Arabidopsis thaliana: one gene and its partners. The protein of the gene in region 2 purifies or fractionates together with the protein of the main gene of each other region. This does not show direct contact. Each region holds a gene or a part of one and is shown on either strand. Other genes may lie near its edges. The genes, in order: E1 ALPHA, RPT2b and LTA2.

What was found.
Region 1: the proteins of RPT2b (region 2) and E1 ALPHA purify together in Arabidopsis thaliana (affinity purification with western blotting, with the first as the bait; one study listed by BioGRID). This does not show direct contact.
Region 3: the proteins of RPT2b (region 2) and LTA2 purify together in Arabidopsis thaliana (affinity purification with western blotting, with the first as the bait; one study listed by BioGRID). This does not show direct contact.

The regions. Positions count from the first base shown.
Region 1 is NC_003070.9:22,049,305-22,053,058, forward strand, and holds the start of E1 ALPHA (pyruvate dehydrogenase complex E1 alpha subunit), read left to right. Parts: upstream 1-1,828; 5' UTR 1,829-2,063; coding exon 2,064-2,742; intron 2,743-2,828; coding exon 2,829-2,908; intron 2,909-3,275; coding exon 3,276-3,353; intron 3,354-3,753; coding exon 3,754-3,754. Other genes in the region: SNL5 (SIN3-like 5), read left to right, coding at 1-9, 92-180, 258-396, 504-656, 735-895, 984-1,098, 1,190-1,366. UniProt on the Arabidopsis thaliana protein: The pyruvate dehydrogenase complex catalyzes the overall conversion of pyruvate to acetyl-CoA and CO(2).
Region 2 is NC_003071.7:8,690,635-8,694,388, forward strand, and holds the start of RPT2b (AAA-type ATPase family protein), read left to right. Parts: upstream 1-1,932; 5' UTR 1,933-2,101; coding exon 2,102-2,575; intron 2,576-2,655; coding exon 2,656-2,901; intron 2,902-3,303; coding exon 3,304-3,473; intron 3,474-3,577; coding exon 3,578-3,754. Other genes in the region: LCV1 (uncharacterized protein), read right to left, coding at 1-65, 180-306, 448-545, 635-802, 885-994, 1,071-1,123, 1,472-1,600. UniProt on the Arabidopsis thaliana protein: The 26S protease is involved in the ATP-dependent degradation of ubiquitinated proteins. The regulatory (or ATPase) complex confers ATP dependency and substrate specificity to the 26S complex. Acts redundantly with RPT2A in the regulation of gametogenesis.
Region 3 is NC_003074.8:9,458,311-9,462,064, reverse strand, and holds the start of LTA2 (2-oxoacid dehydrogenases acyltransferase family protein), read right to left. Parts: upstream 1,633-3,754; 5' UTR 1,434-1,632; coding exon 531-1,433; intron 447-530; coding exon 255-446; intron 133-254; coding exon 45-132; intron 1-44. Other genes in the region: AT3G25855 (Copper transport protein family), read left to right, coding at 1,798-1,809, 1,895-1,979, 2,216-2,457; AT3G25850 (Cysteine/Histidine-rich C1 domain family protein), read left to right, coding at 3,111-3,754. UniProt on the Arabidopsis thaliana protein: The pyruvate dehydrogenase complex catalyzes the overall conversion of pyruvate to acetyl-CoA and CO(2).

The DNA of each region.
Region 1 (3,754 bases), on a different chromosome or scaffold from region 2:
CTTCATCAAGTAAGTGCTACGAAACAACCTTCTCATGTTCCTCAAATGTCAATTGTCTCAGTCCAAACCGCTAATTCTGCTGATTTTCCAGATGTTGTACGAGAGAATACAATCAGCAAAGATACATTCAGAGAGGAAATGGAAAGCTCCAGATAGCACATCTACTGATTCTTATACCAGGTGGTTTATTTTCTAAGCATCATTGGTACTTTTTAATTGAAAAAATATTATTTCCTAACTGATATTTGAAAGCTTAGGTTCATGGAAGCCCTTTACAATTTACTTGATGGCTCTAGCGACAATACAAAGTTTGAAGATGAATGTCGAGCTATTATCGGAGCACAATCATATGTTCTCTTCACATTGGACAAGCTAGTTCAAAAGTTTGTTAAGCATGTAAGCTTCCATTTTACCTTGTTATCGTCTTGACTCTGCTTCTGTTCTCTCTCCTTTATTTTTGTTTGCTCCGCACTAATCATTTAAGTGGCTTGGACATGCTTCAGCTTCACGCAGTCGCAGCTGATGAGACAGACACCAAGCTTCTGCAGCTATATGCATACGAGAACTACAGAAAACCAGGAAGATTCTTTGATATAGTGTACCATGAGAATGCTCGAGCCCTTCTCCATGATCAGAACATATACAGGATTGAATATGTATGCTTCTCTTGATATGTGTGGATACCTGTTTATATGTTCCCATATACTAATCTGTATTTGCAAATTTCTGTGCAGTCATCTGCCCAAACCCGTCTCGGAATTCAACTTATGAACAGCTGGAATGATCAGCCTGAAGTTACAGCTGTAACAGTGGAACCAGGTTTTGCTAATTATCTGCAGAATGACTTTCTTTCGTTTGTCAGTGATGAAGAGAAACCCGGACTATTTCTGAAAAGGTGAATGAAGCAATGATTAGAGCATAACCTTTTTTCGTCTTCAGTTGTGGTAGTACAGTTAGTAATCACCTTAGCATACTCTTTTCAGGAACAAGGCAAAATTAAGTGGTCCGGGTGAAGAATCTCTAGGGATGTCACGTGCCTTGGAAGGATTGAACATTATCAATGAGGTTGAATGTAAGATAGCTTGCAGTTCTTTCAAGGTAAAATACTTTCTTGTGAATCTCTTGCACTGATAATCTTTTCTCTTTTCACATGTATATATGATTGATGAGAGTTTACAATCTTCATTAGGTCAAGTATGAACCACACACAGCAGATCTTTTATATAGAAGAAAGCAGAAGAAAGCAACACTGAATCCAACTGGACCTGAAAATGTTAAAACCTCTGATAGTAGTGAACTCTCGAGAAAGAAACGAATATCGCGCTTTCACATGAGTCTTAACCGCAGACTTGTCGCCTTGCCTTAACTCAAGAACGCCGTAAGTAACCCTCTTGTCTTTTATTTGCCTGTGGTGATCAATACTGCAAATCATCAATAATCTCTAACTCACGATAAATTGTGCAGGTGTGAAGTTCTTTGCTGAGAATGAGATATGCAAGAATGAGTAGTAGTAGAGAGAGACTAGAGAATAACTGTCTTTGACAAAGATTCTTGCATCATTTTAGGCTCAAAGAGATTCACATGGCAACAACCATAGTTTTTATCTTCTACAGTCTACACTGCAGCTGGAGCCGCCAGTTTTGCTGTATAGTGTTAGAATATCTTTTTTTTTTTTAAGGATGATGCTAAAATTGGATATTTTTAATTCATTCATTGAACAATTATTGAATTTTCCTTCTAATGTTAAATTCTCTTTCAAATTAATAATCTCTTTAATCACATGTTTTATTTATTTATTTTGGTTTATCCATTTGGTTATTTATCTTTAATCACATTTGAGTTTGATTATATAATATGATTTTAAGAGAATATGAATATATATTGACTCTTTTATCACAGGTGTCACGTGACTCACGTGAGGCTGTGTACGGAAAACCTTCTTATCCTCTCAGAGTCTCTTATATTAGGATCGCTATCTACTGCTTCACTGAAATTGTCCTCTCAGTTCCTACGCGAAGTTTTCAACAGATTCGCCGGAGAATCTTCGAATCAACGGCGGAGAAATGGCTCTATCACGCCTCTCATCACGATCCAACATCATCACTCGTCCCTTCTCCGCCGCCTTCAGCCGATTAATCTCAACGGACACAACTCCGATCACAATCGAGACTTCGCTTCCTTTCACAGCTCACTTATGTGATCCACCGTCACGCTCCGTCGAATCATCGAGTCAAGAGCTTCTCGATTTCTTCAGAACCATGGCGTTGATGCGACGTATGGAAATCGCAGCCGATTCGCTTTACAAAGCGAAGCTAATCCGAGGGTTTTGTCATCTCTACGACGGCCAAGAAGCTGTAGCTATAGGCATGGAAGCTGCGATTACAAAGAAAGACGCGATTATTACTGCTTATCGTGATCACTGTATTTTCTTAGGTCGTGGTGGTTCGCTTCATGAGGTTTTCTCAGAGCTTATGGGAAGACAAGCTGGTTGTTCTAAAGGGAAAGGTGGATCTATGCACTTCTATAAGAAGGAATCGTCGTTTTACGGTGGTCATGGGATTGTTGGTGCTCAGGTTCCATTAGGTTGTGGTATTGCTTTTGCTCAGAAGTATAACAAGGAAGAGGCTGTCACATTTGCTTTGTATGGTGATGGTGCTGCGAATCAGGGACAGTTGTTTGAAGCTTTGAATATTTCTGCTCTTTGGGATTTGCCTGCAATTTTGGTCTGCGAGAACAATCACTGTAAGCATTTTTGCTTCTTTCTTTCTTTCTTTCTTTCTTTGTAGGTTTGTTTTGTCGTAGTATCTGATTGAATTTGATCTGTGCAGATGGAATGGGAACTGCTGAATGGAGAGCCGCTAAGAGTCCATCTTACTACAAGCGTGGTGATTATGTTCCTGGACTCAAGGTCAGCTTTTGAATCTTATTTGTAACAAGGATTGATGTGTGAGGCTTGTTAAGATGAGAAAGGGAAGTTTTGATTGGGTAGATGGATTAGTGTCATTTCCTGAATGATATAAGTTTCTTAGTTTCCATATAGAAACAGGTAGAATGCAAGTCTTAAGTAACTTACTACTACTCAGCTTTCATTTATAACCTCTCAGTTTAGAGATGAATGTGACTGTCTTATGGATAATGATTGTCATGAATCTTCTATTGTTAACAGAGATATGGTGTGCATCATTACCTTGTTCTTATTAGGTTTCTTGTAACCTGCATCAAGTTAGCAACTTTCTTTTGAGTTTGACCGGTTGCTGGTTTGTATGGATAAACAGGTAGATGGTATGGATGCATTTGCTGTCAAACAAGCTTGCAAATTTGCTAAGCAGCATGCGTTGGAGAAGGGGCCAATAGTAAGTTTGTATTTTAGTATTATCAGACGTTTTGTTTTTTTCCCCTTTGGTCCTTACTCATCTGGCGCATTTTGTAAATTTGCTATGAGCAATATCTAGCTGTCCTGTAGGACGTGAAGTATTAATCTTTCCTTTTGCATTTTTTAGTTGATATTTACTTCCCTTCAGTTCCTCTTTTTGGACACTGCATTCCAGTAGCTGAATATTGATGGGGTGGCTGGTTCTTTCTGTGCAGTTGCAATAGAAATTACGCTGTATCAGTGTATATCAAAGAAGTGTGTTTTTGATATCGCTGTTGTTCATATAAGTAGTAGCTTTGGTTTCCAATTTATTTTCCTGTGTTTATTCTTTCCTATCATATGGATTACAGAAGCATTAATACATCGTTTCTTCTATACAGA
Region 2 (3,754 bases):
GGCCAAAGGTTTATCAAGAGTCGATAGAATCTGCGGCATTGACATTCCCCCGGAAACAACAATCTCTGCAGATGAAGAATGAGTATACAGTGTTCAGTATCTTTCCACAAAATAATTTGAATGCTATATAACAAACGATAAATGTATCTAGTATAGACAATTAGATTCTGAAATCTCACCAATTCCTTCCCGGACAGAGAGGTTTGGCCTGATAACGTCATTACTGTTGACAAGTAGTATATCTCCAATGTAAAGGTGGTTCGTGGGAACGTATACACAGCAAAGTTCCTCCTCGGTTGGGTAGTTCTGCAAGAACGAATAGCATTATTACATTGGGTAAAAAGATTACGAAATTATGGTAAACCATATAACTCGAAATTGTTTGTATCCTCAAGGAGACGTTCTGGAAAGAATAACAAAATCCTTGAGCAAAGTATTTTCACTCACCTGGAGAACAACAGTTGATGTAATGAAGCCAAATGCATATTCACCTACACGGGGATGCCTGATGATTGCAACTTCCTTGAAAGCTTGTGTATTTTGATCTGTGATGAGAAATGGATAAGAACAAGATGAGATAGGAGATCAACTTAATGTTGAGAAGCAAAACAAGATTTTTATAAGCAAGCTAGACCAGGCGATATGGCAGTGCTGATTTGCTTGGAGGCGTTGTAGATGTGACGAACAAATGGCATCCGCTTGATAAACCACTCTCCCAAGTTCAGAACCGATGCCCCCAACCACGAAGACATGAACACCCCAACCAAGAAGATGAATGCAATGGAAGTCAAAAAACCGAAACCTACAAAACAATAATCAAACTCATTGTGGGAAACCGATATCAAGTTGTTAATAGGATAAAGAGGGGCCATTCAAATTCTTACCAAATATGTTGATTCCAAGTAGTGCATATATTGGAGAGAAGAATCCATCGACAAAGTGAATAAACCACCATGTTGTATAGAAAGTAACTGCAATAGGAAGTAGGATAACACTGCAAAAAGCAATGGAGACTTAAAACTAATCTGTGGAAGTTTTCATCAAATGCCAAAATTTCAACTCTTCCTTACCAGCCTGTCATGAACTTCTTTGACGCCCAACCCCTAATGAACAAGCTTAAAGTCTGCAGAAAAGAGCTAAAGCATCAGGCCACAATGCTCTATAAGTTATACATGCTTGAAAACATGAATGAGCATAATACAAAGACTCAAGAATCTGAATGATTCCAACCACAACAACTTGGAATGCAAATTCATACTCTACTCAATCACAACTACCAAACTTATCTAAGCAAGTGTTCTTGTGATATACTGAATCTAGGGCAAAACAAGTTCCAAGATTTTGAACTAAGGGGAGACAGAATCGACCAAATCTATGAATAACTATCATCCAATTCTACTGTTAGTTTCGCATGAATCTTGAAATGAGAAAACGAAGAACACGTTTTTAGATCAGGTGACAAAAACTAGACCTCGTGGCCGGATTGATGCGAAGAAGAAGCAGAGGAAGAAGAAGAAGGCTTCGAAGAAGAACCATCGTCTTTGTCGCCGAAATCAGCGACGGGAATCAGAAGCTCTCGATCTCTTTCTCGATTGGCCATAACAATTGTCGTGTAAAGAGAGATAAAACCCTAAACCTAGAAACTCACCGAGAGTTCGAAGATTGTAAATCACAATCTAGAAGCTAGTTGCGAAACAGAAGAACCACCTCGAAGATCCTGAGATTTGATGATGATGATTGTGATGATGATGAATGACAGATAGAGAAGACGATGAAATTGATTTTTGATTCGATTTCCCCAAATGGCAAAAGAAAAGTTCCTTACCTGTACCGATTGACCGTACCAACTACCAAACCAACGAATTGACTTTTACAAAACTTAAACCGAAATTAAAGATAATTAAACCGAGTTATTGAACTAAACCAGATAATAGCTTAGGTTGAATCAGTTTTAAAAAAATTTGCGATACCTAAGGCCCACTAAGTTTTTCACATCGTAAAAAGGCCTAAAATAATAAGCCCACTTTAATCATCTCCTCCCGTTATCAGATTAAAAGATTTGTTTCTCCGAGAGCAAGAAACCTCAGAGAGACGAAGCACAATGGGTCAAGGACCTTCCGGCGGATTGAATCGGCAAGGAGATCGGAAACCAGATGGTGGAGAGAAGAAGGAGAAGAAGTTCGAACCAGCCGCACCACCTGCTCGTGTAGGGAGGAAGCAACGGAAGCAGAAAGGACCTGAAGCGGCGGCGAGATTGCCGACGGTGACTCCTTCTACTAAATGTAAGCTTCGATTGCTGAAATTGGAGCGAATCAAGGACTATTTGCTTATGGAGGAAGAGTTCGTAGCGAATCAGGAGAGATTGAAACCTCAGGAAGAGAAAGCTGAGGAAGATAGATCTAAAGTTGATGATCTTCGTGGTACACCTATGAGTGTTGGCAATCTTGAAGAGCTTATTGATGAGAATCACGCCATTGTTTCTTCTTCGGTTGGTCCTGAGTACTACGTTGGCATTTTGTCTTTCGTTGATAAGGATCAGCTTGAACCTGGCTGCTCTATTTTGATGCATAACAAGGTATTGAGTTTTACAATGCTCTTCCATGGAAACGTTGAACCAATTCTTCTATGTGATATTTTTTATTATTTTTGTGATAGGTACTCTCTGTTGTTGGGATTCTTCAAGATGAAGTGGATCCAATGGTGTCTGTGATGAAAGTGGAGAAGGCTCCTTTGGAGTCATATGCTGACATTGGAGGTTTAGAAGCTCAGATTCAGGAGATTAAGGAAGCTGTTGAGTTACCTTTAACACATCCCGAGCTGTATGAAGATATTGGAATTAAGCCACCAAAAGGTGTGATCTTGTATGGTGAGCCAGGCACTGGGAAGACATTGCTTGCTAAGGTTCGTCTTTTAGCCTATAGTGTATCCATTATATAATAAGCTTTCTAGTTGTTAATTGCTTAATACAGCACATAATGGTACTTCCCAAGTATGATTGGTTTTATGTCAAGTCATGCATGCAAAATTTTCTGTCTTTTATCAATCTTCACTAGAAAGATGAATTAGTCAGGACAGTGGCTTCTTTGGTTTGATCACCTAGAATTGAGATATTAGATCATAGTACTTGTGTAGATAGAGGAAGATTTTCAGAGTCACGTGGATTGATTTAATGTCTTCGTTTTCTTTTTGTCTATGTCGCAAGCATGGATTGTTGCAGTGTGCCTCTTTTTAATGTGTCTCTTATGCTTGTTAAATTCGGAACTGTTGGAGATGAGCAAGTGTTATTTCTTGTTATTCTTTCAGGCAGTGGCAAATTCTACTTCAGCTACTTTCTTGCGTGTTGTCGGTAGTGAACTGATTCAGAAGTATTTAGGAGATGGTCCCAAGCTTGTGAGGGAACTTTTCAGGGTTGCTGATGACCTTTCTCCTTCTATTGTTTTCATAGACGAGATTGATGCTGTTGGCACCAAGCGGTATGCCTAAATACAACATAAACATGATCCATTGATAAACAATGTTCTTGATTTTGCTCAAGAGATGGTATCTAATATGTGATATAAAATGGTGGTTGAAACAGGTATGACGCAAACTCAGGTGGGGAACGTGAAATCCAAAGAACCATGTTGGAACTACTGAACCAGCTTGATGGGTTTGATTCAAGAGGAGATGTTAAGGTTATTCTCGCGACAAACAGGATCGAGAGTCTTGACCCGGCACTTCTTAGACCAGGCCGGATCGACAGGAAAATCGAATT
Region 3 (3,754 bases), on a different chromosome or scaffold from region 2:
CACTTCACATGTTTGTCATCTAAACAATTCGTTAAGAATAGTACCAGAGTTGTATTCATGGGGTTGAAGTTGCTTGCTTCTAGCTTTCCCCACCAGCTCTTTCCATTTTTGAGATAACAAGTACAAATCCAACTATCAAAACAACCAACACGACTCACACATTCAGTTAAAGAAACCAGCCTAATAATACCAAGTGTGTGTGTTAATTCACTCACACGCTAGCTATTTTCTACAACTTTATTGCTTATGCTTACCTTATCTGCATCTTGTAGAACAGGCGTAATCAGGCCACCATTGATAGCAACCGCCACTGCAATGTTAATGCTACTATTGTAACTAAAACTCTTCCCGTCTTTGCAGCTAGCGTTCACCACAGGATGCTGAGCCAAGGCCATCCCTGCAGCTTTAGCTAATAAAGCTGTCATTGTTACACCCTTTGGCTTCACCTGTAAACAAAAGCAGTGATTTAACATCAGCTTCATCATTCAATACAACATCAGCTTCATCTGTTTCATTCAATTCAATTTCACCTTCTCGTAAAGTGCATCAAGAGCGTCAGTGTTCACAGGATAACCAACACGGAATGTAGGAACAGAGAGACTCTCAATCATGTTCTTAGATACTGCAGATTGCATTGCTGTGAAAGGAACAATGCTTGAATCAGGTAACAGAGGAGGCAAATTAGTGGTGGTTGCTTTAGCCGTCACCGGAGGTGGAGGAGGAGGCGGTGGTGCGATGGAGGATTTGGACGGAGCAATTCCAGCCGCCGTCTCCACATCAGAAGCCGTAATCCTACCGAATGGTCCAGTTCCAGCAACGGATTCAATATCAACCTTGTGTTGTTTAGCAAGCTTCTTAGCATACGGCGTCGCAACAGTCTTCCTCGGACCATCTGATACTGCCGTCACCGGAGCCGGTTGAGCAATCGCCGGAGCAGGAGAAGAAGTAACCGGAGGAGGAGATGGAACGACAGCCTCAGCCACAGAAGAAGAAGATTTCGAAGCGGCTTTACTCTTAGCTTCTTCGATCTCAGCTTCAGTCTCAGCTAACAATCCAATCGCAGCACCAACCGGAGCTGTTTCACCTTCTCCGACGACAATCGCAGCAAGATAACCATCGTAAAACGTTTCTACATCCATATCGGCTTTATCAGATTCAACAACCACAACACTCTCTCCCTTGGCGAGTTTCTCGCCTTCTGTTTTGATCCATGACACGATTTTGCCTTCCGTCATGGTTGATGATAACGCCGGCATGAAAATTTCACGAATCTTAGATCGGACCGTCATTGAACGACGGTGAGAAGTCGCCGGAGTCGTGGAGCGGAAAACGACGCTGCGGAGGGATGGGGATACTGAGGAAGCGAATGAAATGTTGGATTTGGAATTGGTTAGTGAAGCTGTCGATAGAAACGAAGAAGAAGAAACCGCCATTGTTGAATCACAGAGAGAGAGAGATCTGAGAGAGAGTTTAGAGAGAGTGAAGTGGACGGAGAAGACGAGGTTGAAGTTCGTTGAGCGTCTTCGCCTACATTTGTATCAGTTACCAGTTTAATAACCGGATATATAATTAAACCGGATTAATTTATCTGAAACTTCGGTTTAGGTTAAACCATCTAGAAACAAAGAAAATTTAGATGCTTCTCAATGGATATTAGGTAACATAACAAAACCAGTTTTCTTATATATCTTCTCTGCTCTACCTAAGTTAGAGAATCAGATTCCAAAATCTTAATTTATAAGTATACTTTTGTTTTCTTAACCAAAAACATATCATACAATATTGCTCTTTCGTCTCATGTCGGAAAAGGTTTTGTGTTTTCTTTTATTTGTTTGAACAATAATTTTCTTGGATTTGTGATAATTTTTTTTTTTTTTGGGGTGGTGAAATGCAGAAGCAATGTTGTGTTGTGATGAGGATTAACTTGGATTGCAATGCTTGTTGTAGAAAAGCTAGGAGGATTATCATCAATATGAAAGGTTGGTTTATATTGGTTATATAAAATAATATGTGGATGAAATGAGCAAAGAAGGATGTTATGAAAATAAGATTTAAAGTTCAAGGAGGATTTTTTGAGTGGAAAATCTGAAAATTTTAGAAAGACATCGTTAAATTTTATCGATGTTACTATATGCACCATTTTATGTAGGTTTAGTCGTGGTGGATTTATAGAAAATTCAATACTAACACATGTTTTGGATACTTTTTTATGAAGAAGTTGATACACACATGATCAACAAAAAGGAACGTCAAGTAATCCTTTGCGGACGGTTTCGACCATCCGATGTTGCATTAAAACTGCAAAGGAAGATGAAACGGAGGGTTGAGATTCTCGAAGTTGAAGATCTCACCAATGGCCATGGAGGAGAAGAAGGAAGCGAGCACGAGCTACCGTATGAACAGCCACATGAATATTCTAATCAACCTGATCAGATGACCACACCATTGTTGTGTTAGATATCTCTAATTCGTTTGTTCTTCTATCCTCCAATGCCTAAACATTTGTGAGAACTATTAGAAGAAACAATGGCATATAATGACCAACACGTTTGTTTGTATGTACAAATATATAGAAAACTCTGTAGCGCAGTGCGGATGATCACCTAGTATATATAAAAGTTGATATATATTCAATGCATTACATTGTCTCAAAACAATTAATTATACGAGCGGATATGGGACTAGAAACCCGAGACGAATACGGTAAAGACAAGGTCTCGTTCCGAAATGGACATATATCTAAAATTTTGTTTGGTAATTGGGAAAAACGAAACCCAAACTATTGTTTAGAACATTTGGGAGAGCCGAGTATATAAACCTTTTACAATACACATCATTATTGAAATCTTAGCTTTCTGAAATTCTAAATGTGAGTTGGTTACCACAACTAAAATAACAGCCCAATTTTACTCATATTTTTAAATGGAGGGGAAGACTTCAACAACACAAGTGAACAACAAAAATGCCTACGACTATCAATGACAATGAGGATCACTAATGAAGAGGCCTTACAAGAGAAATATTCAAGTGAAGCTTTCTTCTTTCTTTTCTTTTCTTTTTTTGATTGAAATTTATGCTTTCTAGATTCACCCAATCCCCACACACTCACCATGACCGAAAAGAAGTTTCCTTTTCACGATCATCCTTTAGCATATGAGAAATTGGACAGATTTTCTTGCATTTTGTGCAAAAAGAAAGGTGGTTTTGGCTATTTCTGCGATAAGTGCTATTTTTGGGGGCATAAGGAATGCATCAAGCGCTCACTTCTGCATCCATCTCCATGCAAACATTCTCTCAAAATCTACACACTCGAGGCATTGGGCTATGCAGGTGACCATTGTCATTTTTGTAGAGATTATCTTCTTGATGATTTTTTTCATTGTTTGATATGCAACATCAACATGGATCTCAAATGTCTTAAAGATCCACCACCATCAAGTATTTATCACCCAAAAAACCATATGCATATGCTTACTCTTTTGCCGAGAGTGGTCACATTTACTTGTAATGCATGTAGCGTAGAAGGTAAGCGTAATCCTTATGTATGTCTTGAATGTAATTTGATGTTCCACAAGGATTGTATATATCTACCACGAGTTATAAGCATCAACTGCCATGATCATCGCATTTCTCGCATTTTTCATCTTGGTCTCGGAGATTGGAAATGTGGAATCTGCCGACAAAAGATTAGTTGCTCCCATGGAGCTTTTACATGCTTGCGTTGTCCTAGTCTTGCATTTCATTTAAAATGTGC